Alligator mississippiensis: one gene and its partners. The protein of the gene in region 1 interacts with the protein of each later gene in a biochemical or structural test. Links are inferred from orthologs where the notes say so. Each region holds a gene or a part of one and is shown in the gene's direction. Other genes may lie near its edges.

Evidence for each region.
Region 2: the proteins of PRKCZ (region 1) and PARD6B form a complex in vitro, tested with the Homo sapiens proteins (2 studies listed by BioGRID). The link is inferred for Alligator mississippiensis from reciprocal best matches to the Homo sapiens genes PRKCZ and PARD6B.
Region 3: of the proteins of PRKCZ (region 1) and MBP, one has a biochemical effect on the other in vitro, tested with the Homo sapiens proteins (2 studies listed by BioGRID). The link is inferred for Alligator mississippiensis from reciprocal best matches to the Homo sapiens genes PRKCZ and MBP.
Region 4: the proteins of PRKCZ (region 1) and YWHAZ form a complex in vitro, tested with the Homo sapiens proteins (2 studies listed by BioGRID, with this or other methods). The link is inferred for Alligator mississippiensis from reciprocal best matches to the Homo sapiens genes PRKCZ and YWHAZ.

The regions. Positions count from the first base shown.
Region 1 is NC_081836.1:13,357,584-13,364,529, forward strand, and holds the start of PRKCZ (protein kinase C zeta type), read left to right. Parts: upstream 1-3,945; 5' UTR 3,946-4,034; intron 4,035-4,212; exon of another isoform or gene 4,213-4,233; intron 4,234-5,508; 5' UTR 5,509-5,641; coding exon 5,642-5,712; intron 5,713-6,946. UniProt on the Homo sapiens protein: Calcium- and diacylglycerol-independent serine/threonine-protein kinase that functions in phosphatidylinositol 3-kinase (PI3K) pathway and mitogen-activated protein (MAP) kinase cascade, and is involved in NF-kappa-B activation, mitogenic signaling, cell proliferation, cell polarity, inflammatory response and maintenance of long-term potentiation (LTP).
Region 2 is NC_081832.1:12,816,320-12,823,192, reverse strand, and holds the start of PARD6B (partitioning defective 6 homolog beta), read left to right. Parts: upstream 1-3,854; 5' UTR 3,855-3,984; coding exon 3,985-4,050; intron 4,051-6,873. UniProt on the Homo sapiens protein: Adapter protein involved in asymmetrical cell division and cell polarization processes. Probably involved in formation of epithelial tight junctions.
Region 3 is NC_081826.1:110,529,078-110,535,916, reverse strand, and holds the start of MBP (myelin basic protein), read left to right. Parts: upstream 1-3,834; 5' UTR 3,835-3,972; intron 3,973-6,839. UniProt on the Homo sapiens protein: The classic group of MBP isoforms (isoform 4-isoform 14) are with PLP the most abundant protein components of the myelin membrane in the CNS. They have a role in both its formation and stabilization.
Region 4 is NC_081826.1:38,282,981-38,290,361, forward strand, and holds the start of YWHAZ (14-3-3 protein zeta/delta), read left to right. Parts: upstream 1-4,371; 5' UTR 4,372-4,482; intron 4,483-6,333; 5' UTR 6,334-6,343; coding exon 6,344-6,637; intron 6,638-7,381.

The DNA.
Region 1 (6,946 bases):
TCCTTTCCAACAAGGGCCTCATCCTACTCGGTCAAGGAGTATTGCAGCTAACCCTCATGGCTACAGTGCCAATTGCTACCACACTTAAAGATATTCTTTGACTCTGTTTCACAGTTGTTAGGGGCTGGAAGAGATCTTACAGATCATCAGGTCCAGCCCCGCCTGCACGTGAGCAGGAAAGCCTGCTGGGATCAGACCCCAGCAAGATGGGCATCAAGTGTTGTTACCAACCTGTGGTTTTGTCACTGAACTTACTCCTTTGCATGCTCAATCACAATTCATCACATAGGAAAGGGAAAGAAAGATCTAGATTCCACAGATTTGCTGATGCTGCATTAAACAGCACTCTCATATTTGTGCTGGATCTGATCAAAGCTACTTTTCAAACACAACTCAAGTATTTCCAAAGAATATATTTTTCCAATTTTTTCTTTTCTCACAAAAGGACCAGTTCAATTTCTGGTGTGCTCTTAAATATGAAAAGAGGACATCAGGTATCAATAAAAGATACATTTTTCCAGTGGTTCCACCCACCCTACCCACCTTTTTCTTTCTAAATGTGGGATCAGGGCTTGAATCCTTTATTTCAACCTAGCACAAATTGGAATTACTGAGTTAGAAGCCTCTCAGAAATAGTGTTAGTAATAGGAATATCTGCAGATCTTTAACTTTAATTGTAGTGGGCCCTCATATAACAACTACCAATTTATTAGGCTGAAGGTAGTTTAATGGCATATGAAAAACGTAATGTTTTACAATCTGAAAAAAATCAGGTTTGGGGACATATTCAGGATTTCAGGCTTTAGGCCAACCAGAGTTGGCTGTTTTTCAAAAATAATATGCCAGGTACAATGATCTTACAATATGTAGCGCTTGCAAACCTATTACAACCTTGTTAATTAATCCATAGAGCAAAACGGACATCATATCCAAAAAGAGCCATCTGCCTACCCTTTTCCAAAGGCATGGGGAGCATCTAATAAGAAATGAATACATTTTAAAAATAGTGAGCACTTAATGAAACATTCCAAAGCAGTAACAATTGAGACATTTTTGTTAAAATTATAAAAGCTATATTAATCAATGAAAGAAACCCGTAAAGTGATACATTTATAATATCAATAGTTTGCTTTTTAAAGTCTTGTAAATATGCATGGTAGTTTTTTATGTACAAGATGTGATGGGGGAGACATTTCTCCCTGTAACAGGGAGCTGGAGGCTCCTGTTACTTTTAAGGGGAAAGGGCAGCAAACCAGGCCTACTGTGGCAGCTGAGCAAAGGCCGGCTGCTAGAAAGCAAGCAACTCAGAGGCAACAGGGATAAAAGCTGCAACTGGGAGTGCGTATCCTGGAGCTAGGCAGAAAAAGGGGCAGAACTCTAGGCAGCCGGGAGACAGTAAGGGGGAGCATGACTTGCTGTGGGGTAATGACCCAAAATTGGGTGCAAGTTTTGGTTTGAAGCAGATGCTTATGTTTCGACCAGAGATTTGGACTGTGACTATGGGAGTGGTCTGAAGGTCATAGGAGTTCTGAGTCAGGCCCAGGGCATAAGTCCCTGTAAGGAGCAGGGACCCAAGGGTGGATGAGAGAGAAAGAGCAGCATCATTTCATGCTGGGAACAGAGGTTGAGACAGGGCCAGGATTATTGCCCCTAAAGCACATTGTTCCCTAAGGCAAGGATACAGCTAGGAGTGCCACCATTTAGTGTCTGAGGTGCAAGACAACTACCAGTTGGGCGCAAGTAGTACTAGGGTTCTCGTTAAACAGCAAGCTGAAATGAACTGAGGGTCACTCTAAAACCATGGGACAGCCTTCCTAAGTGCCATAATATCCATCAAGGTATAGCAGAAAAAGGAAGGGTACTCTGAGGGGCTGGACTGGGGCAGGAGTAGTTTGCCCACTGCGGGCATCACAGTCATCCTTGGGGCTGGTGATATCACATTCCCTTCCCTTTGCCCTCCCCCCTCACCCCATCCCAGACCAGAAAAATTGTAACGCTAGCTACTTCGAAAAGTTTTACATCTAAAGATCTTCCAAACCTTAACAGGCTAAATTAATTACTTCCAAATCAGGTGGTGTGAAGGTAAATCTATATATAACTGGACATGGCGCAGTGTAGTGATATCTAAATGAGCTAGCTCAGCTAGCAAATGCAGGACAGCCATAGCAGCCTACTACTCCCTGCAAGTAAAACTAGCTTTTGTGGGCCTTGATGCGACTGTTCCCATTATCTGAACTAGCTGGAGTACCTCCACATGCCACTGCAGAACTTACTCTAAGTATCATTAGCCCAGAGAGGGAAACTGAAACAGTTTTAAGGGACAGTTTTGAAACCTTACTGGTGACTCCATTGGAGGGGTACTAATTCTTGCTTAGTAGGAATAAAGATTGTCAAATCAAGGCCTCAGTGGTTTATACCTTCTTTTGCTTCTCTCACCACTACTTGGGTGCACAGCTGGAAGTAAAGGGCCATAGCTGGAAATAAAGCTTTACATTTCTTCATTTCTACTTTAAGTTCTCTACGAGAAAGAGCAGTAGAATAAAAACCTCTTTTATCCATCTCAATTAGCAGTTATAACCCCTCAATACCTCTAGGGGAGATCAGCTTGTTTCCTTTGATGCATCTTAGATGCAGGCCATAACAAACATTTAGATAGTCCAGCAGCATCACCAGTACATATATACCATCCTTTGCTTGTTTGAGGTTTGTATTGGGTTTGTGTTTTTTAAATCATTGGTGATGTTGCTTGCTTATTTGTTTTTCTTAGTCACTTCCTCTGTCCCCACATTTTGTGTGTGTTGATCAATTGTTTTCCTCCTTTGAAAATATATTTAAAAGATTTGTTTGGTGTTTGACTTGTGTCTCCTTTTCAAAAGACAGGATGTCTAAATGAAACAAAAACAGTTGCTGAAATGGATCAGGATCCAGTCTATTGGTTTGTCCGCCCCCTGTGCTCAGATGAATAAGGACAGAAAGATATGGATTTTCTTGAAGAGGTCACGAAACTAGCGGAGATGCTAGTGAAGACGTGCTTTCTGAACTGGACTGGAAAATGGCTCGCTGAGGAACTTCTATTTTGATTGCACGTTGAGGCTTCTTTTCATTGATGAACTTATTAATTGGTTTGGAACTGTTACTTTTACTGAGGGATGCAGTGACCTCTGCTGTTCCAAGTGTGCCTGGAAATTGATTACATAAAGATATATAAAGTAGCAAATTGCCCTTTTTATTAGATATAAAGTGCAGAGAAAAGGCCTAAAATTATAAAAGAAAAATATGTGAAAGCGTAGCGCACACTTGCACAGCAGAAGGAGCTGCCACTGAACGTGCAAGGCTTACCAAGTCTCAGGGAGGAGGCGTGGGTTTCCACAGACGCCTCCTGTTGCCACAGCGATTCCGTGGGCCATAATCTGTGGCCCAAGAGGTGATGACACAAATAACACCCTGTTTTCTATCACGGGACACACTGAAGTGCTTCAGAAACTGGACTTCACTTCGCTCCCAACTCCAAGCATGCGCTCCAGACAGGGAACCGAAGTGATGTGCCTGCAGCAAAGCCATGCAGAGCTGAAAGCAGAAGCCAGGAGTCCCCAGACACCAAGGCTGCCCTCTTTTTGAGATCCTTGCCCCCAAAACCCTCCTAGAGCTGCGAGCAGGAGCCCCAGGGCCCAGCAGGCCCACGGCCCTGAGGCCATCCAGCCCCGGTTACTAAGTAGATTAGCTACGTTCCCCCATCCCCTTTTCCTATTGGCTGCAGGTGTTCGCTTGCCTCCTCCTTTTTTTTCATTGGTTGCATGGCCCCTGCCGGCCAGGTAACGGATGCGGGCTTTTGATTGGTCAGACGCGGGCGGGATCCCTCTTGGGATTGGCTCCAGGTGGGCCGGCGCTTGCTATTGGCCGGCAGGTAGCGTGGGAGGCGCTCTATTGGCTGTTGTGGGCGCTAACCTGCTGGGTCCGCCATGTTTGGAGTAGTGGCGCCGGTGCCGCCGCAGTCGCGGAGCGGGGGGCGCTGAGCCGAGCCGAGCCAAGCCGAGGTGGGAGCGGGGCGGCGCGGGGCTGCGCGGGGCAGCGGGGCTCGGCCGCCGCTGTCTCAGCCGGCCGGGCCGGGGTTGCGGGGGTCGCCCCCAACTTCCTCACGGGACTTCGGGCAACTTCCAACGCGGGGCGGGGCGGGGCGGGGCGGGGTGCGGGGCGGGCTTGCCCGGGAAGGGCCGGGAGCCGCCGCCGCAGCAGGTAGGCGGGCAGGGGCGAGAACAACTGCAGCCCCTTCCTGGATACAGGGACCCCCCCTCCCCCCCCCCCCGAAAAACAAACACCCCCGCGCTGCCCCGAAACCTTCCGTGGGCAGAAGGGCTAGGGGCCAGAATAAACCACGTGGCCCAGACTCCGGTGGGAAACAGCAGCCCCCTGTGAGACTCCAAATACACCCCTGTAACTGCCACCGCTCCCAGGGGTAGGAGCCAACTGGGGTAACGGGGTCTTCCCCAATCTGGGTGGGGCTGGTCCTGCTGGGGGTGTGAGTGTTTGGGGGGGTGGACGAGCTGTGACCTCCCGGGGTCCCTCCCACGCTCCGTGTCTGTCGTTCTGGGAAGTGTCCATCTACGTGTCCATCCCCGAGCTGCCCCAGCGTGCCTCCGATTTACCTCCCTCCCTCGCTGCAGGTGGAACTAGCCTTGGTTTCCGATACAGCAGTGTTTTTCATGTGTGCAAGCTGCTTTGGACGTGGAAAAGTGAAATGTTGTGTGACTAAGAAGAGAAAACCTAGGAAAGAGACTTGTAAATAAGGGGATCTGATCCTTGCCATTAGTCTTTTAAGAAAAGATTGTCTTTGCAGTGTGTTTTATTTGTGATTAAAGGGCTGAAAGTTTAATTAGGAAATGGTTAAAAAAAAAACCCCCAAAACGCCCTTGTCAGACACGGCTTTGTTTTGTCCATGCAGTTGCTGGATGAATGTTTTAATTGGTGGAAACAGGAATCTTTTGAGGCCTGATCTTCTGGAAACCAGAATAATCGTGTAAAATAAAATGTAACTAGCCTGATTAAGTTTTACTACCAGTAACTTATTTCATAGTCATTCCTCTGCGGGACAAAGGGCCCTATGGATGTAAACAGTCCAACTGCTTTCTCAGGTGTATTGTTTAAAGCAGCGGCTCCCAATTTTTTTTTACTGCGACCTTAAACCCAGGTCATGACCCCTGCTCTCACCGCCAACTCACTTGTGCCCGACGGCGCCAGTAGAGCCCAGGCCGGGCCAAGATTGTGGGGGGGTAGCGGTGGTGAGAGCCGTATGGACCATGTACCGAGAGAGCCCTGCAGGCAGGAGGGGCAGAGCAAGGCGTGGACCCTCTATGACCCTGGTTTACGTCTTGCCCTGAGGTTGGGAGCCACTGGTTTAAAGTGACTGGGGTTTCCAGGATTTGGCTCTGCACATGTAAATTTATGTTGTATTTCAACAATTCTTTGTGTGTGTATGTGCATTTATATGCTGCTTTTCTTTTCTGTGTGCAGATGGACAGGGTATCAGCTGGAAATTATACCTGCTCATTAGAATTCAGCACAAGATCAGTTGTCTTTTTTGAATGATTTGAAAGATTCTTCCATACACTGGCAAAATATTTTTATTTAGACTGCTATCAGTATCATGCCTAGCAGAATGGGATCAAAAATGAATCTGAACAGAGACTTCATCAGAGTAAAAACACATTATAATGGGTAAGTTGAACAGTTTTTCAGCACTACATCGCATGTGGTTTCAGTTTGCACTAACAGAATGCACTGTAGTCTTACTTGATTATAGAGTTGTAGAAATCTATGATACTACAGGTACTAACAAATCATTCCAGGTACAAAGTTTGTAGACTTTCTTGGGTGTTAAAATAAACTTAAATCAGTTGCTACTTTATTGTTTATGGTGGAGTTCTACTTCCATTTAGGCATCTAAATGGCAGTTTTCCAGCTACATAAATAATGTTTTTCACATGCAGTTCATAATTGTGTTTTCTTTTACAGTGAGTGTTTGTAGTTCTAGACTGAGAGTTGCAGTAGGTTATACTGGCCAGATGTGCTTTTTCCAGGACTTATGAATTATATCACAAGGGGCTTTCTTATGTTTTAGCCCTCATAGCTGAGTGGTAGGGGCATTTACTCCAGCTTCTTGAGACTCGTGTTCTAGACCCCATTTGCCCAGAGAAGGTTTGATCCTCCACCTTTCTTACTGCCCAGTTATACTGCTGTAACCACTATGCCACTAGGCTCTTTAATGTTCCTTTAAAAGCTGAGCCACTGCCCCTTGCTTTTAATAGTCATGAAGTAAAATGGATGGAGAGCAGTTTTATGTTGTGGGGAGGTTTCTGCCCCATTGGGAGCAAGGTGCTTCCTTCCTTGTGTCAGTAATCTGAAAGCTGAAATGCACACAAGTTTGCTTTCTTCCTCCTGGCCCCACACACATCCCCGTTGGCTGCCCAGAGGGCTAGCTTCAGAGGTATTCTAGAGAAGACACTCAGTATTATGTGCCCTTAACAGTCCAGGCACTGTGCTGGGAAGTCGGAGAGATGCAGATTCAAACCCTTGAGCTGAAACACAAAAGGGCCACCCTCCTCTTCCTTGCTTTTTCTGGGATTTATTCTCGTGTAGGCATGTGTACCCAGGAAGCATGTAGCCTACTGTGCATGTTCATTCTGCTTGTGTATCTATACTGCAGGGAAAATAAAATTGAAAAATGTGTATAAGTGGCAAAACTGTTACCTGTGTGACTGGAAAACTATTATTTAGATGCACCAAGGGAAGTGAAATGCTGTCCCTGGTCTCTAAAAACTAGTGAGAGAGAAGTTTCTGGTTTGTTCTTTTTTACTTGCTGCTGCTTGGTTTTGTTTCAAAACTGATTCAGAATGGTGTGTGTTTAGAAACAGATGTACTATATCTAGGTGTATTTGCTGATCCAGTTCAA
Region 2 (6,873 bases), on another chromosome or scaffold:
TTTCCATTAAACTATCACTGATATTTTTCTTCACTTACCAAAAGTGGACAGAACTTCCATTAATATCTACATGGTCAATCCAAGATTTACCTAATCCATGCATAGATTTACCATCTACAGCCACTTCCATTCAAAATCAAGTGGTGGTGCTAGCACCCACCACTTATATAACAGCCAAGTAGCTAGAGCGCTTACTCTGGAAATGGAAGACATTGGTTCTAGGCCCTCCTCAGCTTGAGGGGGGGTCAGAACCCTATATATCTTCCTCCTAGAAGAGTGCTCTATACTAATGGTTTATAAAATCATCTGGGAAAGGGAAACTCACATGACTCCTGATGAAGCTATAAGAACTGCAAGATTCACAGAGCCAGAGAGAATGAGTAAAAGCTAGCATGACTCCCTAGCTCAGTGACAAAGGCACTGTTTTGAATGAGGGAAGAAAGGTGGGGTGGGACACCTGGGTTCTCATCCTTGTTCCAGGGCCTACTTATGTATTTTGCATTAAAGCACTACTAGATAGAAGACATTGTTAACAGCAGGGACCAGAACCCAGGTTTCCCCCTTCTCTTGGAAGCGTCCAAACAACTATGGAGTTACAGATCCTTTTGCTTATTTTTCGTACGGTAGTCCTGGGAGTTTGAGCCAAATTTAAAAATAAGAATGAATTAAATATTAATGCAAACCTTCTGCTTTCTCCTTCAGTCTGAATTTTATCCCCTGAGGAAACCTTTCGGGTACTGGGCAAGATAGATGGAATACCACTCCATTAAAAAAAACAGGAATGAATCAGATGGAAAAAAGACTTGTCATAGGGAATACAAGCTGTGTGGGGGTTCTGCTCTTAATGATGCAATGAGGGTGGGAGGCTGTCAATTACCACAAAATAATTAAGAAACCTTAAACAAAAATACCCAGCTCCCCTTTGAGTTCTGAACAGGCTGATGGACACAGAACATTATTTTCTTTGAGGGGCAGTGAATAGCTTAACTCTTAATCACATGTTTATCGAACTTGGAACTAAAATAGCCCTGCAGTTCTGCACTATGCCTGGCACAGGCAGCTTCCCCTCCCCTTACCTTTATCTGAAACCAAATTGTTCATCACATTCCTTTCTTACGCAATATCAGCTCACTGTAATGCAAGATAGCTAGTGATTAATACTTTTTATTAGGTTGGTTCCAGTGACTCGAGATGAATTTGCTCTGACTCTTGCAAGCACGAGGCCACACCCAGTTGTATGGCACTTCAACAACTCTAGGAATGTGAGACGCATTCTTAGAGGAAACCTAATAAATCTGTAATGATAACATCAGCTTCTTTACAGTTTTAAGTGCACAGAACTTCCTGGAGGGGTTTCCACCTCAGAATAAAGGTAAGTCAATTGCAATGCTAACCCTTGAAAAAGCTGTGCGCCTCTTTTGTCTCCTCCACTGGCCTCTGCATCTTCCAAGTGCCCAGGACAGCAAAGCTGGTCACTTATAAACAAGAGCAGAACTGGATAGAGACAGAGAGAAGCCACTTCTTTCTCTCAGTTTTGGCGACTGTGAAATGACAAATTAATTAGTTCATCTTTGCTGACATGGCTATAATTCCACTGATTTCCAAGTATGTCCGTGTTACAGGAGAATCCAGTGTTAGGTATGGATAAGATCAAATATGTCACTTCACTATTTTCTTTATCAAATAGAAGCAGGGATGTGTAGACTTGAACTAAGCATCTATTGATCTATAACAAAACATTTTAACACTGAACTATACCCTCTGCACTAATCAGGTCTTGTCTTGTTTGGGTGAGAGGTACAATTTCTCTGCCTCACAGTTGGCCTTTGGCCTGCTTTACACACTACATGGCACCAGTTTACCTTAAAATGTGATTTTAAAGTTATTTTGTTAAAATGGTGTAATTCTGTGTGTGGATACTCTTCTATTGGATTTAGCTTAGTTTATGTTTAAATCATTAACTGTTTACACATGAAGCCCATAAGCTCCCTGAAGAGATTGGGGATGCTGAACCTAACCTATAGGCAGTAACGGAATGGGATGACCACTGCGAAAGATCACACCTATTCCTACAGCAGTTTATACCAACACCAAGTACGTCCCCTATTGGGCACGACCTTGACAGAGAATTGTGGGGCAAGGTGAACAGCCTGATCTGGATACAGATGGTTCAAAACAACACTTTACAAGATAAGCATTCTGGATGCCCCCTGCGTGAATGTGGTGTCCGACAAATGACACAGCACTTATTTGAAAGCTGCAATCTTTACAAAAGCCCAGACAGGGCAGACGGAGTCCACACATTAAGCAATCACACCAGACCGTGGCACACAGATTTGGAAGTTGATATGATGCCATGCAAAATAGATGTTTAAATTTAAAATCTGGTGTACGATTTAAAAGTTTCACCTGCGGAACTATACTAATTATAGATGTGACCTTTTTTCCCCTCCTTTTCTAAAGGAAAAAAATCCTTTTGTATAGCTTAGTTAATTAATTTTTGAAAAAGCTCTATTCTATAAAGTGTCTCCACTAGGGGGATTTGCTAGATGATTCTAGTGGCAAACACAAATTTTAAGAGTAGACTAGCCGTGTATATCTGAGTTCAACCAATACACGAGTATGCTTTGAAAGTTCACTCAGGGTGATAAATATTGCCAAATCCAGTGACAGTCCATGTACTAAAAATGAGAAATTTAGTGAGAAACAGTAACACCTCTACAACTAGAATGAATTTTAAAAGCCTGCCAGCAGAAGCACTGTCCCGACTGGGGTCTCAGTGCTGAGATGGCAGGCAAAGTCTTTGGGTAGAGGTGATATCTTCTATTAGACCAACTAAGCAGTTGCCAAAAAGCTTGCAAATAACATTTTTGCAACTATTTAGTTGGTCTAATAAAAGATATCGCCTCTACCCAAAGACTTCACCTGCCTTTTGTGCTCAGATTGACATGGCTACTGCTCAGATCAATGCTCAAATGTCATTTGATTTGAACTGAACAGGTGCAGCCCTGTGCACAGGCATTTGCAGTTTGCCGGTCCATGAGATGCCTGGCAGGTGGGGCGGGCTGTCTCCCCCTCTGCTCCCGCAGGTGCCTGGGAGCAGCGGGTTGGCCTGTGGGAGGCAGGTGCATGTAGGTGTTCTTGCCAACTGCTAAGTTGGTCTAATATCTTTTATTAGACCGTCACCACGCTGGGGTCACTTCACCACATTTGTCTTCCTGCCTAGAGTAGGGGAGGGGGCTGGACCCAATGATCTGTAAGGTCCCTTCCAGCCCCTTCCAATCTATGAACATCACATCTACTCAAAGAACCCTGCCTGGTGCATGTAGGGTGGGGCAGCCATCATAGAGGACAGTCCGGTTGTCCTGTCGATACAAAACCGGACTCCTTTACGTCCTCTATGATGAAAAATAGAGGGCATAAAGGCATCGGGTTTCGTATCAACAGAGTAGCAGAAAAACGGAACGTCCTCTATGATGGCCACCCTAATGTAGAGGCGTGACAAGAACTGGCTCCCCACCCTGCCTGACTTGGCTGTGGGGAAGCCTGTCCTGGCTCCTAATCCCTTGGCCATAGTCCCTTGTCAGACGCACATGAGACATACCCTGCCTGCCCTGCGCCCCTTTCAGCCTAGAGACTTGAGTGCATTGGGCCCACACAACCCCACACCATATTCCCGCCCCCGCAGCACCCACCGCGCATGCGCCGGCCATGTTGGAACGTGGCCCAGCAGGTGCAGGTGCGCCGAGCCGCGTTTCCCGCCCCCTCCTCCGCCGGGCAGCGGGTGCGCATGCGCGGCCGCCGCAGGTGCGCCGAACCGCCGGCCCGTTGCGCATGCGCGGAGCGCTCCGCCCCTCCCCCCTCGGCGCGGCAGGTGCCAGGCCCGCGGGTGGCTCCTCCCCGCGCAGAGGGGCGGCCGGGCCGGAGGACGGGCTGACCGCGTCCCCCCTCCCCTCCCAGGAGGAGGCTCCGACCGCCTGCGGCATGAACCGGGCCCAGCGCGGCGTCGGGGGCAGCCGCGGCCTCGGCACCATGGAGGTGAAGAGCAAGGTGGGTCCCGCTGCTGACTCACCTGCCGGGCCCGGGGTCACTCGCGGCCCGGCCCGGCGGCGGTTGTCCGCGCGAGGGCTCCGCTCCGTGTCGCCCCGAGCTGCGGCTCTGACGTGGGAGATGAGCGGAGATTAGCGGCCGCAGGTCGGGGGGCGGCGGCGGCGGCGGCGGCCGGGGGGGGGAGCGCGCCCTGCCCTGCCCTGCCCTGCCCTGCCCTGCTTTCCTCTCCTCTGTCGGGGAATAAGGGAGTCTGGGGGCGGGAGGGGACCTCTAGTCCGAGCCCTTGCCTGAGGCAGGAACCCTGACCAGGTCCCAAGGAAAAAAGTGGGGGAGGAGAGAGACAATGATAAAAAATACCCCTTACGCTGGGGGCGACATGGACGAGGGGAGCGGTTGCCGTGCCGGCAGACCTCCCCCTGCAGGTAGAGCCGCAGCTGAATAAGTCACGGTGCAGGGCTGCGTTCGCATGCTCGATTTCTTTTTTCTTCTCTTTTCCTGGCATCGATAGCGATGTTGGTCTGAGGAACGGGTTGATTTTGTTGCTTTCCCGTGCCCCTAAGCAACAGATATATTTGAACAGCATTTTTCAGGCATCGACCAAGATTCAGTCCCGCCTAATATCTTGCTCGCTGACGGTGTTGGAACTCAGCATTGTAAAGGTGTTTATCTGTGTTATGAAAGGGTGTGTCAAGCCATATTAGCCAAATACAATTGGGTAACTTGATCTAAAAAGCACTTTTTTCCCCCCCCCTCTCAGCAAATGCGAGTGTGCCTGCACTCGGGAACTTGTTTTCTTTCATTTGTGGAAGCTGCAATGCAGGCTTGGTATAGGCATTTTTACCAGCGTGCTGTTTAGTTTGTAACAATCTGCGCCCTGCCTATTTTTACCGCTTCCATCTTTCCTGATGTTAACTGTGATCAGGGCATAGATATATTTGAAGGCTCCGTGACGTGGCGGTGTAGATAGTAAAGGTATCAGCAGCTTCTGTCATAGGTTGTACTAATAACGTGACAGTTTCAGAAAACCTGTGTAGATAAGAGTCCATTGGTGTAACAGCTCTTGGGTGATTAAAATGAAAAGTGCTATTTTAAGCATGTCTATAGATATAGTTGCTCATAACCTTTTTCCACTTCTATATTTTCATTTAATGTAATTGGAGATGCACCTTTTTTTGTTTTGTTTTGTCTAAAAATAAAAACCCCTCTTTCATCAGCCCTAATGTGTATGAATCAGCTTGGTGTTTCAGGCCACCAGTTCCCAGATACAGATGTCCTGTTTGAATGAGAACAAAACTGAATGTTATCAAAGATGTTATATGCATGCCCTTTTGGTGTTTTGGAAGAGGCGTAAGTTGCTAGTGAGTGATGAGAACATCTTAAGCTCTGTACAGATCCATATGTCAGTGGGTGTCAGGGTCTGTCACTGGATCTGCTTGTCTCTGTTGCAAGGGATGTAAAGAAGCAAAGCGTCTTGCTTAAGCACATTTTTGCAGGAATGTTTGTATTCCTTTGCTGGAAACAGAGAGATCCTCTAATGAACAGTTTTGCTGTGTCCTAATTTACACTGGAGAACTTAACCAAAATCACAACTAATGTATGTATGTGAGCAGAAGCCTGTTTCAGACCACAGCATGCACTTGCTGGCAGTACAGTTCAAGTGAGATGCTATAGAATGGATATTTTCAGAAGGATGAAGAACTTTTTAGAACCAAAGAATATTTGCAGTTGTACTTGTTTCACTGGGCACATCAAATCTCATTCTTTTGAAATGCAAAGTGATTACAGTATCAGTTGTAGAGACTTTTATCTTTGTGTATGGTAGTGGGCAACAAACCAGCATACAGGTTTCCTTGCTTTATATGGGTTCTGTATGTGCAAATTTTCTCTTATGGGATGACCCTTTTTATACCAAAAATTTGTTATATGTGAGGTCTGTTCACTCTTATGCTGCTTTGCGCAGCGCGTTGTGGGAGTGACATGCACCAAAATGTAGTCTACTGTGTGGATCTGTGCTCTTTGCTCATTGTCTGCAACACTTATTTCTGTAGTTGTCATCCCCATTATGGTAGTGCCATGTACTTGTGTGTACTGCCTGCTGTTGGCGAGTACCAAAATTGTCTTGTAAAAGTGGTAGAAATGGTCAGTACAGTTGAGGTTTTGGAACATATCCCTATTTATTGCATTGTAAAGTGGGTTCCCTTTACGTGAATTTGAGTTATGTGCCGTTTTCCAGGAACACATGTACAGCATAAAGCAAGGGAAACCTGTACTGTGAGGTTCCTCTCCCCACTCCTGCCCTCCCATCTAATATGGTGCTGAACTAGTTTCAGTGTTCTCATAAAATATGGTGTGGCTGTTTGTAGCTCATTGGATTACTGCTGCAGCAAGTTATCACATAAAGATAGCATTGGGATGCTGCAGGGCAAGAGTAGTCAGCATTAGTCTTTCTGTAGTAAAGCATGTGACTAACATTTCTCAAAAGAGTGTAATTTAGTGTAGTTCTAATCTAAAAAGGAAATAGTCAGCAATGCATCTAGCATATAGGTGGGAAGTGTACTGTGCTTTTCCCCTTGTAAAATGGGGATGCTCTGCTGTTCATGTTTTATGAAGTGCTTTAGTTCTCAATTAGCAGGTAACCCCTTTCTCTTCTGCAGCCCACCTTTTTAAGCATTTTTTCTTCTTTGAATACCCATCTTCTTAAACAACCTTGCCTTCCTTGGAGCTTTTCTCTTCCATTTTGTTGTAGTGCAGCTTATCTAATAAGAGTAAAGGAAAGTAATTTTTATGTTCAACTGCAAAAATAATATGATGTTTTGAGAGAGC
Region 3 (6,839 bases), on another chromosome or scaffold:
AGCAGGGGCTCTGGTAGTTGTACTATTGGGGTGGCAGAGGTGAAGACAGCAGTTCTTTACTGCCCCTACCATCCCTGTAAGGGAGGGGGTGCGGGGAGGGGGTGTCTGGAAATGCTGATCATGCACTGCTCACCACCTTTCTAAGCACAGAAGTGGACAGGCTGTTAACAGTTGGGCTACCCAGGGGGCAGGGAGAGCAAAACAGGGGTTTATCAACCCCTTGCTGGAGAGCTGGCCTTCATAGCTCTCCAGCCAGTGGCTTGGAACACCTGTGCATTTTTGCAGTGCTACAAAGTGCCAAGCCATTTTGTAGCACTACAACTGAACAATGGTCAATATCTTTATACATAACCATGTGAATCAGAAGCATTGCCATTGTAAGTCAGTAAAATTATCACAGGGCAAAGCTTACACGAAATCAAATTTGGCCTATGTGGTTTTCTTTGTAAGTGCAGCTTTATGTCCTTGATTTTGCATTGACAGACATTCACTGAGTGATAGTCATCAAGTCTTTCCCTCCTCCTGGCCCCTCAATTACTTTAAGATGAGAGACTATTCTTTGGTCTATAATCAGTAGCATCTCTGTGAATTTTAATTAAATCATTCTTTGAGTTTTTATGATATGTAATTAGTCATGATGAGACACATATCTGAGTTATTATTTGCCAAATAAATCTTATCACTATGGTCCTGCTGAAGAACCAGGTCAACTCTTTCTTAGTATTGTTATTACACTTTCAATTTTAGTACATTTTAGTACTTTATTTGCAAATGCCACTCTCTTTCCATTCCAATCTCTCCTTTCTTGGATTTGCACAATGGAACACTTTGTACTGGGTTGGAGTGTCTTTACTATACAGTTAATTAAGGATACTAAGCTTAGGGAACAAATAGTATTTGAAAGGCTTAATGCTATTTTTGATACTATTTTACATACAACGAGAGGAAATAAATGAGGAAATGAATCTTGCTTTGCAGACCGACCAGACACAGAACAGAGATGGCTGCTGAACACGGGTGCATTCTTTTTAGATGGAGACCTTGGAGGATTGGCAATATTGTTAGTTAAAATAATTATGTATTATAATAAGTTAAATATGATTCTGATAATATAATGGTTATTATATATTATTGTGTGATAAGACTGTAAGAGGCCTTATTACAATATGTGGACTCAGTCCTGCAAACACTCAGCTGAGATGCTTTCCTCAGGGGACTAAATCTGGGATGCTAAGGGAACTACCTATTTAGTCATTCAAGAATGAGGTCCTAAACATTTTTTTTAAATCAGTCATAAAAAAATGAAAAACACTGAAAGAAGGAGAAAGGTATCTAGGCTATAAAGTGCAAGAGAGGTACATAAGAGTGTTGTTACTGAATATGGCATGGTTTTACAACTCAGAGTGATGATAATCACCTTCAGCAAAATAAATCTCTCTTACCTGAAAGCTGGTTTATAGCATCATTCTGACTTCTCATTCCTAGGCATGTGGAACTCACTTTACATGTTTTTCCTTCTGAGGCCCTGATACAGCAAATATGCATGTTCTTCTACAACTTATCCTACAAATGACCTCACCGAGTTCAGTGAGTTTACTCAAGCACAAAATTGCACAGAAGCATGAATATTTGCAGAATTGGGACCAGATTTTATTTCCTGTGGGTTGTTTTTGAATATTGTGATTTCTGAGGCAGCAGGTTGCTGATATTTGGATCCAGTTTTGCTTAAGCCCACTTACACAACTTTTTTGTTTGTTTGTTAAAGAATCTAGAAACCTATGGAGAGTGGAGATGAGCATCCAAAATGAACATTCAATGCACTGTTACTTTTTAAAGTTGATAAACAAAGTTTGTTTGTTTTACAAAGTATAAAGTAGTAAAGAGGAAAGGATTGTTGTGGGTGATATCTTTTATTGGACCGATTGTATCTGCTTTTTCTGTGTCTGCTTTTTCCTCAGCACCCTGAGGAAGGGCACTTGGTACCCAAAACCTGTTTATATCCCTCCCAACTATATCCCTAGTTTGTCCAATAAAGATATCACCCACAAAAAACTTTACTTCTCATATTTGTCCTGGACACATGGCTACAATATCACCCTACCATAAAAAGGTAAACGCATACATAAGTTTTTGCAAGATTGTGGCCTGCCAAACCCCTTATCAACATTTTTTTATACACTCATAATATTGGAACAGGAGTCTAGTGTTGGGTTTTTTTTCCCTTTAGTCAAAGTAGTATTCTTTGGGTGCATCTACACATGCAATTAATGTGACCAATAAAACTCTGGAGCACTTCAAGCCAGAGTGAACTGCTCCTGGGCGCAGTGTCTACACATGCTCCCAGGACAGCAGCAATTTGAGCTGGGGCAAAGCAGGCCCCTGGCTGGCTGGGCTGACCCTGACAAGGGGCAATTTATACCCGCTGTCACTGTTTACATGCATTTCAGCACAGTAAAGTACACTGCCACTGTATAGTACTGTCAGGGATAGTATTATCCTACAGCAGAGTTAATTAGTTTACTGTGCCAATACTGGCACACATGTAGACTGTGGTGCTTTAGTGTGGAACTAAGTAGTCAACTCTTCAGTAAAGCACGTGTGTGGATGCACCATGCGTGATCTAAATATAAAATGCCCAGGATTTTAAACTATTAATGCTTATGACACTTCCCATTTTTTAATTCCTCCCCTACTTCCTCACAGCTCTATTGTCTGGTTCTCTGTTTTATCTTCATATTTGGTTGTAGTCTGATTAATTTTTAGCATACTCTAGGTTCCTTTTACTTGTAGTAATAAAAGGCAAAATTGTGACTCCCTTTACTCCTATTATTCACTCACAATGAGTAGTCTTGGCTTCGGTGAAAATGCGCAAGCACATATCTCATCACTGAGAGGACGGGGTTCAGTCCAATTCAGAAAGCTTTATAAAACTCCTTCTCCCCTCCCTAAACATGTGCACCTGTGTGTGTGTGCGTGCGCGCGCATGTGTATATCATAGAAGTCATGTAATTGGTAAAGGAGAATGAGTTGACCTAGTTCTTCAGCAGGACCACAGTGATAAGATGTATTTTCACAGAAGCATTAGTACTTGTTCTGTTAAACAAGATTGATAGTGATCTGTGCATGTGCGCCACTAAAAACGATGGACCTGGTGGGCTGGTCAGCTGCCCTAAGCCTCCATCTGATAAGGATAAAACCAAGAGGAAAAAAGACACCCAAAGCAGGGGAAAAAAAACCCCCAAAAAACAACCCCCCCCCAAAAAAACCACAGCCAAAGGAGTGTCACCTTGCTTTTTTTTCACAGCTGCAATTCAGAAAGAACCTCATTTGCTGCATACAGCAGAAACACATGCGAGGCGGACAGACAGGACTGCCAACCTAGAGCATGTGAAAAGGAAGTAAGGGGGGGGGTTGGCATTTAACCATTCCCAATTCAGATTTCCAAATTCTTCTCCGCCCGCACAAAGGCTGGAAGTGTAATGGGACCCTCCTGTCAGGTCTGTTCCCACGCGGGGGCAAGAAGCAGGTGCCGGGGGAACAAAACAACTCGGTGCCCGCCTGGCAAGGCATTTGCAGACTGCAAAGCAGTGAGGGGGGGCTCACCTGTTTGCGGGAGAGGTGGGAAGTCCCCTGTGGGGAGGGGAGGGGCTGCAATCCCTCAGCTATAGCAACCCCAACTCTGCCGGAGCCGGGGGGGCTCCAGCTGTGCCCCCAATCCCGCCGCCCGCGCGCGGCTGCCGCTTCCTGGTTGGGAGCGGGCGGCGGCCCCACCCTCCCGTGACACCCGCCCACGGCCGCGGGCGGACGCGCTGCAGCCGCGGGAGCAGGAAGCCGCGGCCCGGGCGCTGCTGCTGCTGCTGCCGCTGCTACCTGGGCAGCGGCGGCGCCGGGAGCCCCCTGCGCGTAGCCCGGGCGTGGCGGGACCGCGCCGCTGGATGCTGCAGGAGCCCCGAGCGAGCCCCGGCGGCCGCGGTACGGTGCGGTCTGTCTGTCTGTCAGTCTGTCCCGCCGTCGAGGCGGCCCCCCCGCCACGGCGTGTGCAAGCGTGTGTGCGTGCGTGTGTGCCAGCGCGGCCCCGGCCCCGGCCCCGGCCCCGCGCCAGCCCCCCAGGAGGCAGGTGCCGGCCCCGCGGCGGGCGAAGGACGCGGCCTTCCGGGTTCCCCGCGCTCCGCCCGCACCTGGCCGGGGCAGCGGCGCTCGGGGGCCGGGGGCGGGGTCGCTGCCAGGACTTGTCGTGGCTCTTGTCGGTGTCGCTGTTGTTCCTTGTTCAGGGCAGTTGTTGTGACAGATGCCCTGTCGTGTTTCCATCCTGGTTTCCATCGGAGTGACCAGGATGGTCACGACGCCCAGGCACTTACTGCAGAAGGTCCTCGGAATTAGGGCACGGTTGGTTCCCGAAAGCTGCGTCTTAAATGGAAACGTCGTAAGTCGGGACCGATTTTCCCGTAGGAACAATGTTATACGTTGGTGACGTGTAAGGGTGGGGCACGCAGGTGCATGTGCACCCCCTGAGCATGGCAGTGCACCCTCTGCAAAAAGTGCCGCGGATGCTGCCAGCGGCACTTGCAGGCTGTCGCTGCTCACCACCCTCCCCCCTTGCTGCCAACACCACCGGGGCATCTGCAGGCGGTTCCCGATTGCTGCTGGCTGCTGCCAAGGCTGCCAGTGGCATCTGCAGGTGCTCCTTCCTGCCACTGACATTGTTGCCACTGCCAGCAGGCAGTCGCCAGGCACCCCCAGCCTCCGGGGCATGCAGCGTTCATGGGGGGATTGGTTCCTGAACCAAGGCCTGATACCCTATTTTCACCAAAAGTAACGCAGAATTTTGTACTCTATCAATTATAGATGAGTAATATAGCTACATTAATGTATTTATATGGTACATAGCAATCATATTGATTTGGAAGGACTTCTTTGAGGTGACTTTGCCAGACTTTTTGAAGGGTTTTTGGCTGGAGTCTTCTCACAAGTCTTGACTGCAGGTTTTTCTGGAGTCTTGTCTGCTTTCTTAAAGAAAGTGCTCAAGGAAGTTTGGACAGATGTTCTCCAGGGAGATAAGCAATGCAGCAAACGCTCGCTGGTGTGGTGTGGCATCGGATGAAGCGTCGTAAAGTCGAAACTAACATCAGAAAGTCAAAACAGGGTGTCAATTTATAAACGTCCTAAGTGCCATTCATTGCAACTCGAAACTTCTTAAGCAGAGGACTGCCTGTATAGTGCTAGGACGTGGGTGTTTTAAAGAGTGATCTCTTGTGTTCAGCTATTGATGGAGCAGCAGTAGCACCTGCGTGCAGATGTAGCTACTAGCGTAGAAAAGGAAGGTGGGAAGGACCCTCAGGAGGGTGACTAGTCCACTGGTGCTCTACCTCTTTTGTACCAAGATCCAGTTGTAAACATCCATAGCCAATCCCAACCCAGTGCCCTTCATTCCCAACCTGCCGTTCCCCCGCCCCCAGTCCCCGTGCATGGGGCATAGGGGGCACAAGCAGCCCTTTGCAGGCTGGAACTCTGTCAGCCTGCAAGGGAAAAGCCCCAGTTTCCCATGTTTTTCTCCTTTAAAGGAAAATCCGTTTTTAAAGTTTGTTCGGGAACCGTTCATATATTCTTGCAACCCACTTTTAGGTCACAACCCATGGGTTGAGAAACTCTGATCTAGACCTACCCGCTGCTCCAGGCGGGACCAGCCCCAGCTAAGATCAGTACACGTCTGTATACACACATGTATGTATGCACATCTACATGCACAGTTCCATTATCTGTTTCTCTTGTTTTATCTTTATATTTGGTGTAGTTGTAGCCTGATTAAATTTTAGTGGACTCTAGGTTCCTCTTACTTGTAGTAATAAAGGGCAAAATTGTGACCCCCTTTACAAATATACACATGTTCACATGTCTAGACATGCATGTATACACACATGTATGTATCTGTGCATGCATGCACATGTATATGCGCACACACACACACACACACACACACACACACACACACACACACACACACAGAGGTGGGTCTAGAGCAGTAGTTTTCAACCTGTGGTCCATGGAGCCCTGTGGGGGGGGGGGTGGCAGACTATGTTTAGGGAGTCCACAAAAGATGTCTGTAATCAACCAAAAGGATGTACATGTTCACACTTATCATTCAGAGGGGTCTGCATCTCCATTCAAAATTTGTTAAGAGTTCACAAATGGAAAAAAAAAGGCTGAAAACCACTGCTTTAGAATTTTGAAAAGGGGGGTGCCCCCAGTGAGTGCATCATCACGCATAAAACGAGACACATTTTTCTCCAGTTAAACAGAAACTAGAAGCTTTATTGATCCACCAGGGGCCTAAGGCTGTATGATGCTGTTTAAGCTTGAAACAAAAACCAACAGAACTTAATTGGAATGAATTAAATACTATCTGCAGCTCTGTAGAGTAGAAACTTCATGACCAAGAGCAGCAAACAGACAGCACAATGGCAGAACAAAGGCTAGCTTGATTGGTGGAACATCAGGGCCATTAAAAAAGAAGGGAGGGTTCTTAACACCTGTGGAATGAAGAGTTTAGAAGGGATCAGGTACATTACAATGAGCCAGGAAGTCAAGTGACTGTTAGGACTGCCTGACTAGAAATGCTGCTGCCATTGTCAGACAGGCAGGTGGTTTTAAAGTTTGGGTGCAGCAGGAATCAAAGCGGGGTGCAAGTGCACCAGCGCAACCCATCTTTCCCTCCCCATCCACCCCTGCATATATATGTGATACACACCCACACGCCGCCATGATTCTCAACCAGGATGCGGTGGCACAGTGTAGTGCCTTGAGACCCTTTTAAAGGGTGCCTCTGGCAATATTAGGTGTGC
Region 4 (7,381 bases), on another chromosome or scaffold:
TTGGAAACTTTGAAAAGCTGGCCAAGAAACTGTCTTCACCTTCCACTGCAGTTGTATGGCCTTCACCTATCTAACTTGTGAGAAGACTGAGGATCTTGTCTGACTCCTTGCTCTCACGTTGAACCTATAACCTTACCCTTGTTACTTGTTCCCCAGAGTAAGTCAGGCCCTGACACTGATCCTCAGCCTGTGGGGCTGGGCCTTCAGGGATGGATGGAGCTGGCTCTGTCCATTAGGAGAGAGAGGTAGGTAGCCTGAAGTCAGGCAGAAGGCAAGGTAGATTTGCATCTCATAAACTAACTCAGAGATGTACAGTATAAGCTATGCATGTAAAGGAGGTGGCCCATGGAACAGACATGGCATACAGAGGCACATCATCCACCCCCAGTACTGCCCCTGGGTCTGGAGTTGATTCACAAAGCTCACATGGCATGCACCAGATCAGCCCTGCACCACACAGGGTGCCAGTTCTACCTGGCCTGGCACCTGCACTGCATGTGGGCCTGCCTTAGCCAGTCCAGGCCATGCAACATACATGGCACCTGCTCTGGCCAGTCTAGGACATGCACAGTGCCTACCCCAGCCAGCCTGGGACACACACGGCACACAGCACCCACTCCAGCCATTCTGGGACCTGCGCTGTACGTAGCACCCCCTGGCTACTCCAGTGTAGGCACCACAAGCAGCATGAGCCCCAGACTGGCAGGAGTTCAATAAGAACAGGTGCAAACTCCTGCACTTAGGACAGAACAAGTCAATGCACGACTACAGACTGGGGACCAACTGGCTAAGGAGCAGCTCTGCAGAACAGGACCTGGGGGTTACAGTGGACAATAAGCTGAATATGAGCCAACATTGTGCGAAGGAGGCTAACAGCATACTGGCCTGCGTTAGTAAGAGTATTGCCAGCAGATGGAGGGAAGTGATTACAGGCAGTTCTCCGACTTAGGACACAATTGGTTCCTGAAAGCCACAGCTTAAATTGAAACGTTGTAACTTGGAACCAATTTTCTCATAAGAAACAATGTTATAAATGGGGGATTGGTTCCTGAACCAAAGCTCGATACCCTATTTTCACCAAAAATACCCCAGAATTGTGTACTTGATCAACTATAGATGAGTCATATAGCTACATGAATGCATTTATATTGTAAATAGCAATCATATTGATTTGGAAGGACTTCTTTGAGGTGACTTTCCTGGACTTTTTGAAGGGCTCTCGGTTGGACTTTTTGAAGTGCTCTTGGCTGGAGTCTTCTCAGGAGTCTTGGCTCCAGGTTTTTCTGGAGTCTTGTCTGCTTTCTTAAAGAAACTGTCCAAGGCAGTTTGGACAGATGTTCTCCAGGGAGACAGATGACACAGTGAACTTGTTCGCTGGTGTGTCGTCACATCGGATCAAGCATTGTAAAATCAAAACTTACATCAGAAAGTTGAAACATGGTGTCAATTTATAAACGTTGTAAGTGTGAAACATTGTAACTTGCAATGTTGTAAGCCGAGGACTGCCTGTAGTCCACTCTATTTGGCACTGGTGAGGCCACATCTGGAGTACTGTGTCCAGTTGTGGGCCCCTTACTACAGAAAAGATGTGGACAAATTCAAGAGCAGAGGGCAACAAAAACGGTGAGGGGGCTGGGGGACATGGCTTATGAGGAGAGGCTGAGGGAACTGGGCTTATTGAGTCTAGAGAAGAAAGACGGAGGAAGCAACCACAACGAGCGGTGGCAGCAGTGGCAGCCCCAGCATGGGCTCCAGGTCCTGCTTTTCTCACCACTGCTGCTGCCACTGCTCCTCATCATGGCCAGGGTGGGCAGGTCTGGTCTGGAGCAGGTACTGCAGGGAACCTGAACCCTCACACAGGCTGGGGCCGGGGCTGGGGCCAGGGCCAAGACAGTGCACTTGGATCTGGGGCTCAGGCCCTGCCTGTGCTGGCCTCCATGGGGCCAGGGCTGCCAACAGCAGCTGGAAGGAGCCACTGCTGCCGCTGCCAAATCTGCACCCAGCCACTACCACCGAAGCCAGGCATCAGCTCCAGTCACTCCACTGGGCAGAAGGGCAGTGCTGGTGGCAGTAGTAGGGTGACCACCTGCCCCTAATTGGGCAGGACAGTCCCAGAATGGGAACCTCAAGTCCTGGTCCCAGGCTGTCCCAGATTCACAGCATCATGCAGGGATCCACAGGAAATGGCGTATTTCCCTGCAGGCTGGCAGCATTCCAGCCTGCGAGGGGCTGCTTGGGGCTGCTGGGAGCAGGATGCAGGTGGTGCCACATGCATGTGTATGCCCACACACATGGCTGGGAAATACAGCTGGGAAGCATGGAAAGCAGCTCCCTGCAGGTAAGTCAGGGAGGGTTTATGGGGAGGAGAGAAGGTATGGAGGGATGGGGTGTAGATCGAGGCCTCCGTGGTGAGGAAGCGAGTGGGATGGGGCTGGGGGCACTGCCCAGCTAGGGCAGTGCATAGAGTAGGACACAGCCACGGGCAGCTCATCCAGGGGGCACAGGGCATGGGAGGGGGGCAGCTCCCCACTGCTACATGCTGTTCTGGGGGGGGGAGAGCATGGGAGGCACGTGCCTCCCAGATGTGTGTGCAGGGCAGGGGTGGATACAGGCTGCCTGCTGTAAGCTTGTGGCTGCCTGTCCTGCTGTCCTCCCCACAGGGAGACCCCACCGCCATGGCAACACTCCCCCCAGGCAGCAGTGGGGATGGCAGAGGTGTGGAGTTGGATCCCTTGCTGCTGCTGGACAAGCAGGGGGGGTATGGCTGGCATGGGGCTCCTGAGAGGGCAGCAGGGCTGCCCGGAGCCCACAGCACACAACCTGTATCTGCCCCCCTGCTCCATTTTGCTCTGCTCTGGCTCTGCCACCAGCGAGGAGGTGGAGGGGAAGGTGGGAATGTGCCCTGCCTTTGCATTTTAAAAACATGGTCCCTCTAGGTGGTGGGGGTCTAGACACAGAGGCGACAGTCAGTGGTGGCTCCTTCTTGCTGCCATTGCTTCTGGCTCCATGGACACTAGTACAGGCTGAGCCTGAGCCCTGGGCTGAGTGTGCCACCCTGGCCACGGCGTGCCGTGTGTGGGGTTCGGGGTCCCTGCAGCGCTCTCCCTGGACCTGCCCACTCTGGCCCCAATGAACAGCAGTGGCGGCAACCATAAAATGTAAGACCTGGAGCTCGTGCCAGTGGGACCCACTGCCCTGCAGCTCCTCCCCATCACTGCTGCAGCCACCAGCGCCACCTCTGGGCCACGCCAGGCTCCTGCACTCAGTGGGGTGAAGGCGCAGGGCAGCCCTGGCACCTATACCAGCTCCCTGCCCACCTGCAGCCCCATTCCACATAGGGAGGTTTGGGGAGCAATTGTGTGTGTGTGTGGGGGGGGGGGGTGACCCAGCCCACAACAGAGTTTTAGGGAGCTATATGGCCCATGGGCCCAAATATTTGCCTACCCAGGCTAGGCTGTCCTCAGTGATGGCAGATGACAGAACAAGGAGCACCAGAGTCAAGCTGCAGCAAGGGAAGTTTAGGTTAGATATTAGGGAAAATGTCCTTACTAGGAGGGCAGTAAAGCACTGAAGCAGGTTACCCAGACAGCTGGTGAGATCTCCATCCCAGGAGGTTTTTAAGACCCAGGTAGACACCGCATTGGCTGAAATGATCTAGTTGGGAAAGCCCTGATGTGAACAGGGGGTTAAACTACGGTTCACCCTCATTTTCGATGATACCAGTGGGCGCCGTAGGCAGCTCGTGTCACACCAGCCCTGCCCGGGCACCGCATGTGGCACCGTCCCAGACAGGCTGGAGATGGCACCACAGCGGGGCACGTCCGCGGGCTGCATCGGGGCTGGCTACTGCCACGCATCCTGCCCGGGAACAGCACTCACCCAGCCCCGCGGAAAAGCCGGGCTCCCGAACTGGCTGCAAGTGGGGGCTGCGGGCCGCAACCGCACCGCCCCCTGGGGGGCCGCTCCCATCCCAGTGAGCACGGCCCCAACCCCGTGTCGGTGGCCAGGCTGCGGGGCCCTCGGGGAGGGGGGCGCAACGCGGATCCTGGGCAGGCCCCGCACGGGGTGGGGGGGGGGGCGACCCCGCCCTGCCGCAGCCCGGCCGAGCCGCCCCCCGCAGCGCAACGCAGCGCGCACCCTCGCAGCCCGCAGAGGGAGGGAGTGGGCGGGCCGGGACGGAGGTCGCTCGCGGCTGCGCGCGCCGGTGCCGGCGGCAGTTGGTGTGGCCGCTCCCCACCCCCCCCGTGGGGGCGTCGGAGGGGAGCGGGGCGGGGCGGGTACAGGCGCGCGTGCGCACGCGCTCCCTCGCTGTTGCCATGGCCCCGCTTGACGTCACGAGCAGTGCGTTGCGGCGCGGTGATTGGCGGAGCCCCCGTGTGTGGCGCTGGGAGCGAGGCTGCAGCGAGCGAGCCGCGATACAGGCACAGTCCGCGCCGCCGCCCGCCCGCACCGCGCCCGCCCGCCCCCGGCCTCCTGCCGCAGGTAACGGGCCTGCGCCCCCCCCCCCCACCGCTTCCCCTGGGGCGGCCCAGGCGGGGAGCAGCGCCCCCCACCCTCCAGCGGGCGGCTCCCCGGGTCGGGTCCAGTTGCTGAGGCGGGAGCTGCTCCGCGGCGTGGCGGGTGGGGGTTCGCTGCGCTGCGCTGCGGGGACCCGGCGGGTGGGGGCCGGGGCCGGGTGGGGGCAGGTGAGGCGAGGCAGCGCCGCGCCCTTGCCTGGCGAAGGGGGGGCTGTGGCCGGGCGGCCCCGCCCTGCAGCGGTGGGGCCGGGCCGGGGAGCGGCTTCCCGTGGGCCGGGCGGGGCGGAGGTGAGGGGGATGGAGGCGCCGGCAGGCTGAGCTGGGCGCGGCGCGGCGCCGCCATGACAAAGGAGCCGGGCGCGGCGCTTCGCCTCTCGCAACCGGGCGGATGCGGGAAGGGAAGGGCCAGGCCCGGCTCGGCTGCAGGCTCGCCCCCGCGCCGCTGCGGAGAGCGCGGCCAGCACCATTTTATGCCGGCGGGCGGGGCCGTGGCGGGGCGGTGGCAGCCCCCTCCCCCGTCAGAGCCGAGCGCCACGGGCCCTGCCCTGCCCTGCCCTGCCCTGCGCTGCCGCACGGCTCCGGGCGCAGCGGCGGCATCCGCTGCCTCCCTTGCTCCCACCCGCCCCGCGTGAAACCCGGCCCCAAAATGGCTTCTTCCCACCCTTCTCCCTGCGCGGGCAAGGCCGCGGCGCCGCGGGCTCCGCGCACCCGCCTCCGCCCAGCCCCGCAGTCGGGAAAGAGGCTCGTGAGAATCGGTAATACACGAGCCCGAGGGCAGGACTGAAGGGAGTGTGTTGCTCAGGTGGATACGAAGGTCTCGAGGAACCTCCCAGTATATTTTTAGGCTTTAAAAATAAATGAAGGCACTAGTCACTAGGGGTTGATGAAATAGGGTGGGGGGAAGGGGTCAACCTCTGATCTTTCCTGACATGAAAAAGAGTCAGGTTGGCTCCCAAGTGCTGAAAAGCCCCCCTGGGGTGCAGATCCCTAAGGAGACCTGAGGAAGGATGACTTGCTTTTAAAAGCTTGTCCAGCGTTATCCCAGCTGCCTCACTGGTGCAAGAAAAGACAGTCACCCTAAGAAATATTTTATCCCTAGGTTGTCATTTTAGCCAGCAAAAGATGTTTCTGATGTGTTAGGCTGGATTTTAGTGGGGCTGTACAGATAGAGGTAATACTAACTTTGTCCACCAAGCCTTCACTACTGAGGCTGAGGAGCACAACTTGGATGAGAAGCTCATCCCACTGATCCTCTAGGGAAAGAGTTAACATTCCTAAAAGGGCAGGATCCTTAGTGCGAATGAAACCCCTACATTCAAAGTAGTTAACAACCTTTAAAAAAAAAAAACAACCTTTAGAGCTTTATAACATGAGAGTGAAGGCTTTTCCTCCGGCCTTTTTGTTTGGCCCTCTGAGCAGCACAAAATTGCTTTCCCCAGGTCTTTAATCATTGGCATGATGAAATGGACAAACTTCAGCTTTCTCCCAAGCCACATCATGAAGAGAACTAGGACTGATTGAGGGAGAGGAAACGATCAGAATTATGTACAGCACAGAAAAGGTGTGCCTTCAGCATTCGGAAAGTTATCTCTGCAACAATAAAGACTAGAAACATCAATTAATAGTCTGAATTTTTAGAAACAAGCAAATCAAAGTCTTCAAGTCATGACAAAAAACATTGAGAAATCCTAAAAGCTGACAATCGGGAATATTACAACTTAACTACTCTAGAGAAATCTTGCTTTAGATATGAGGCTAAAAATGTCTTTGTCCTTGATAAATGTTTGAATAATGCCTTCCTATTTTTCCTTCTCAGAAAAATCAGCATGGATAAAAATGAGCTGGTGCAGAAGGCCAAACTGGCTGAGCAGGCTGAGAGATATGATGACATGGCAAGCTGCATGAAGTCTGTGACTGAGCAAGGAGCTGAGTTGTCCAATGAGGAGAGGAATCTTCTCTCTGTTGCTTACAAAAATGTTGTAGGAGCCCGTAGGTCATCTTGGAGAGTAGTCTCAAGTATTGAACAAAAAACGGAAGGTGCTGAGAAAAAGCAGCAGATGGCCCGAGAATACAGAGAGAAAATTGAGACTGAGCTAAGGGACATCTGCAATGATGTGCTGGTGAGAACTAACAAAACTGTTAAACTGTTGATTTAATATTGCAGGGTAAATGATATTAACCCCATTAAACTGACATTTAATCTAAACTGAAAATTGAGGCCTGTGATATCAAGTCTTTAATCTTTTTCTATACCAGTTAAAAAAAACAAACTAAGACAAGTGGGTGACTTTTTCCTCTTCCCCTTAATGAATTTGGTAATTAGTTCTCATGGACATCTACTAACATTGTCAAATCTTAAATATAAATAAACTCTGAAAATTCATAGGTTGCTTTATTGTAGGATGTATATTTGTGAATAAGCAAATATGGGTTCATTCACAGATAATGACTGTGTTCATAAAAGCTTTGGGCGTGGTTTCTCCAAGAACCGTGTTGTCCACAACTTAGTTCGTTTCTGGCATCTTAATATACTGTGCTGCTTGTAAGAGGTAATTCACACTATGGAAATTGTGCCCCTCCCTGGTTTAGATGATGTAATGTTAGTTATGACTCAGCCATGCAGAAAATCCTCTGCAGGAGGAGGCAGTGGCAGTACTGCTGATTCCCTCTTGCAGTTAATAGTTCTTTAGTGGTAAACTATAGTAAAGGTAGCCTGAGAGTTAAACTAGTCTTGTGGCTTACAGAACATACTGTGGCTTGTTGAATGATAATTGAAAAATGCTTGGGTTTTAAACTAATTGGGGGATGGGAGGGAGTCAAAGGGGAGGGCGGGACTTTTCAAGTATGCAATAGTACACTCCTAC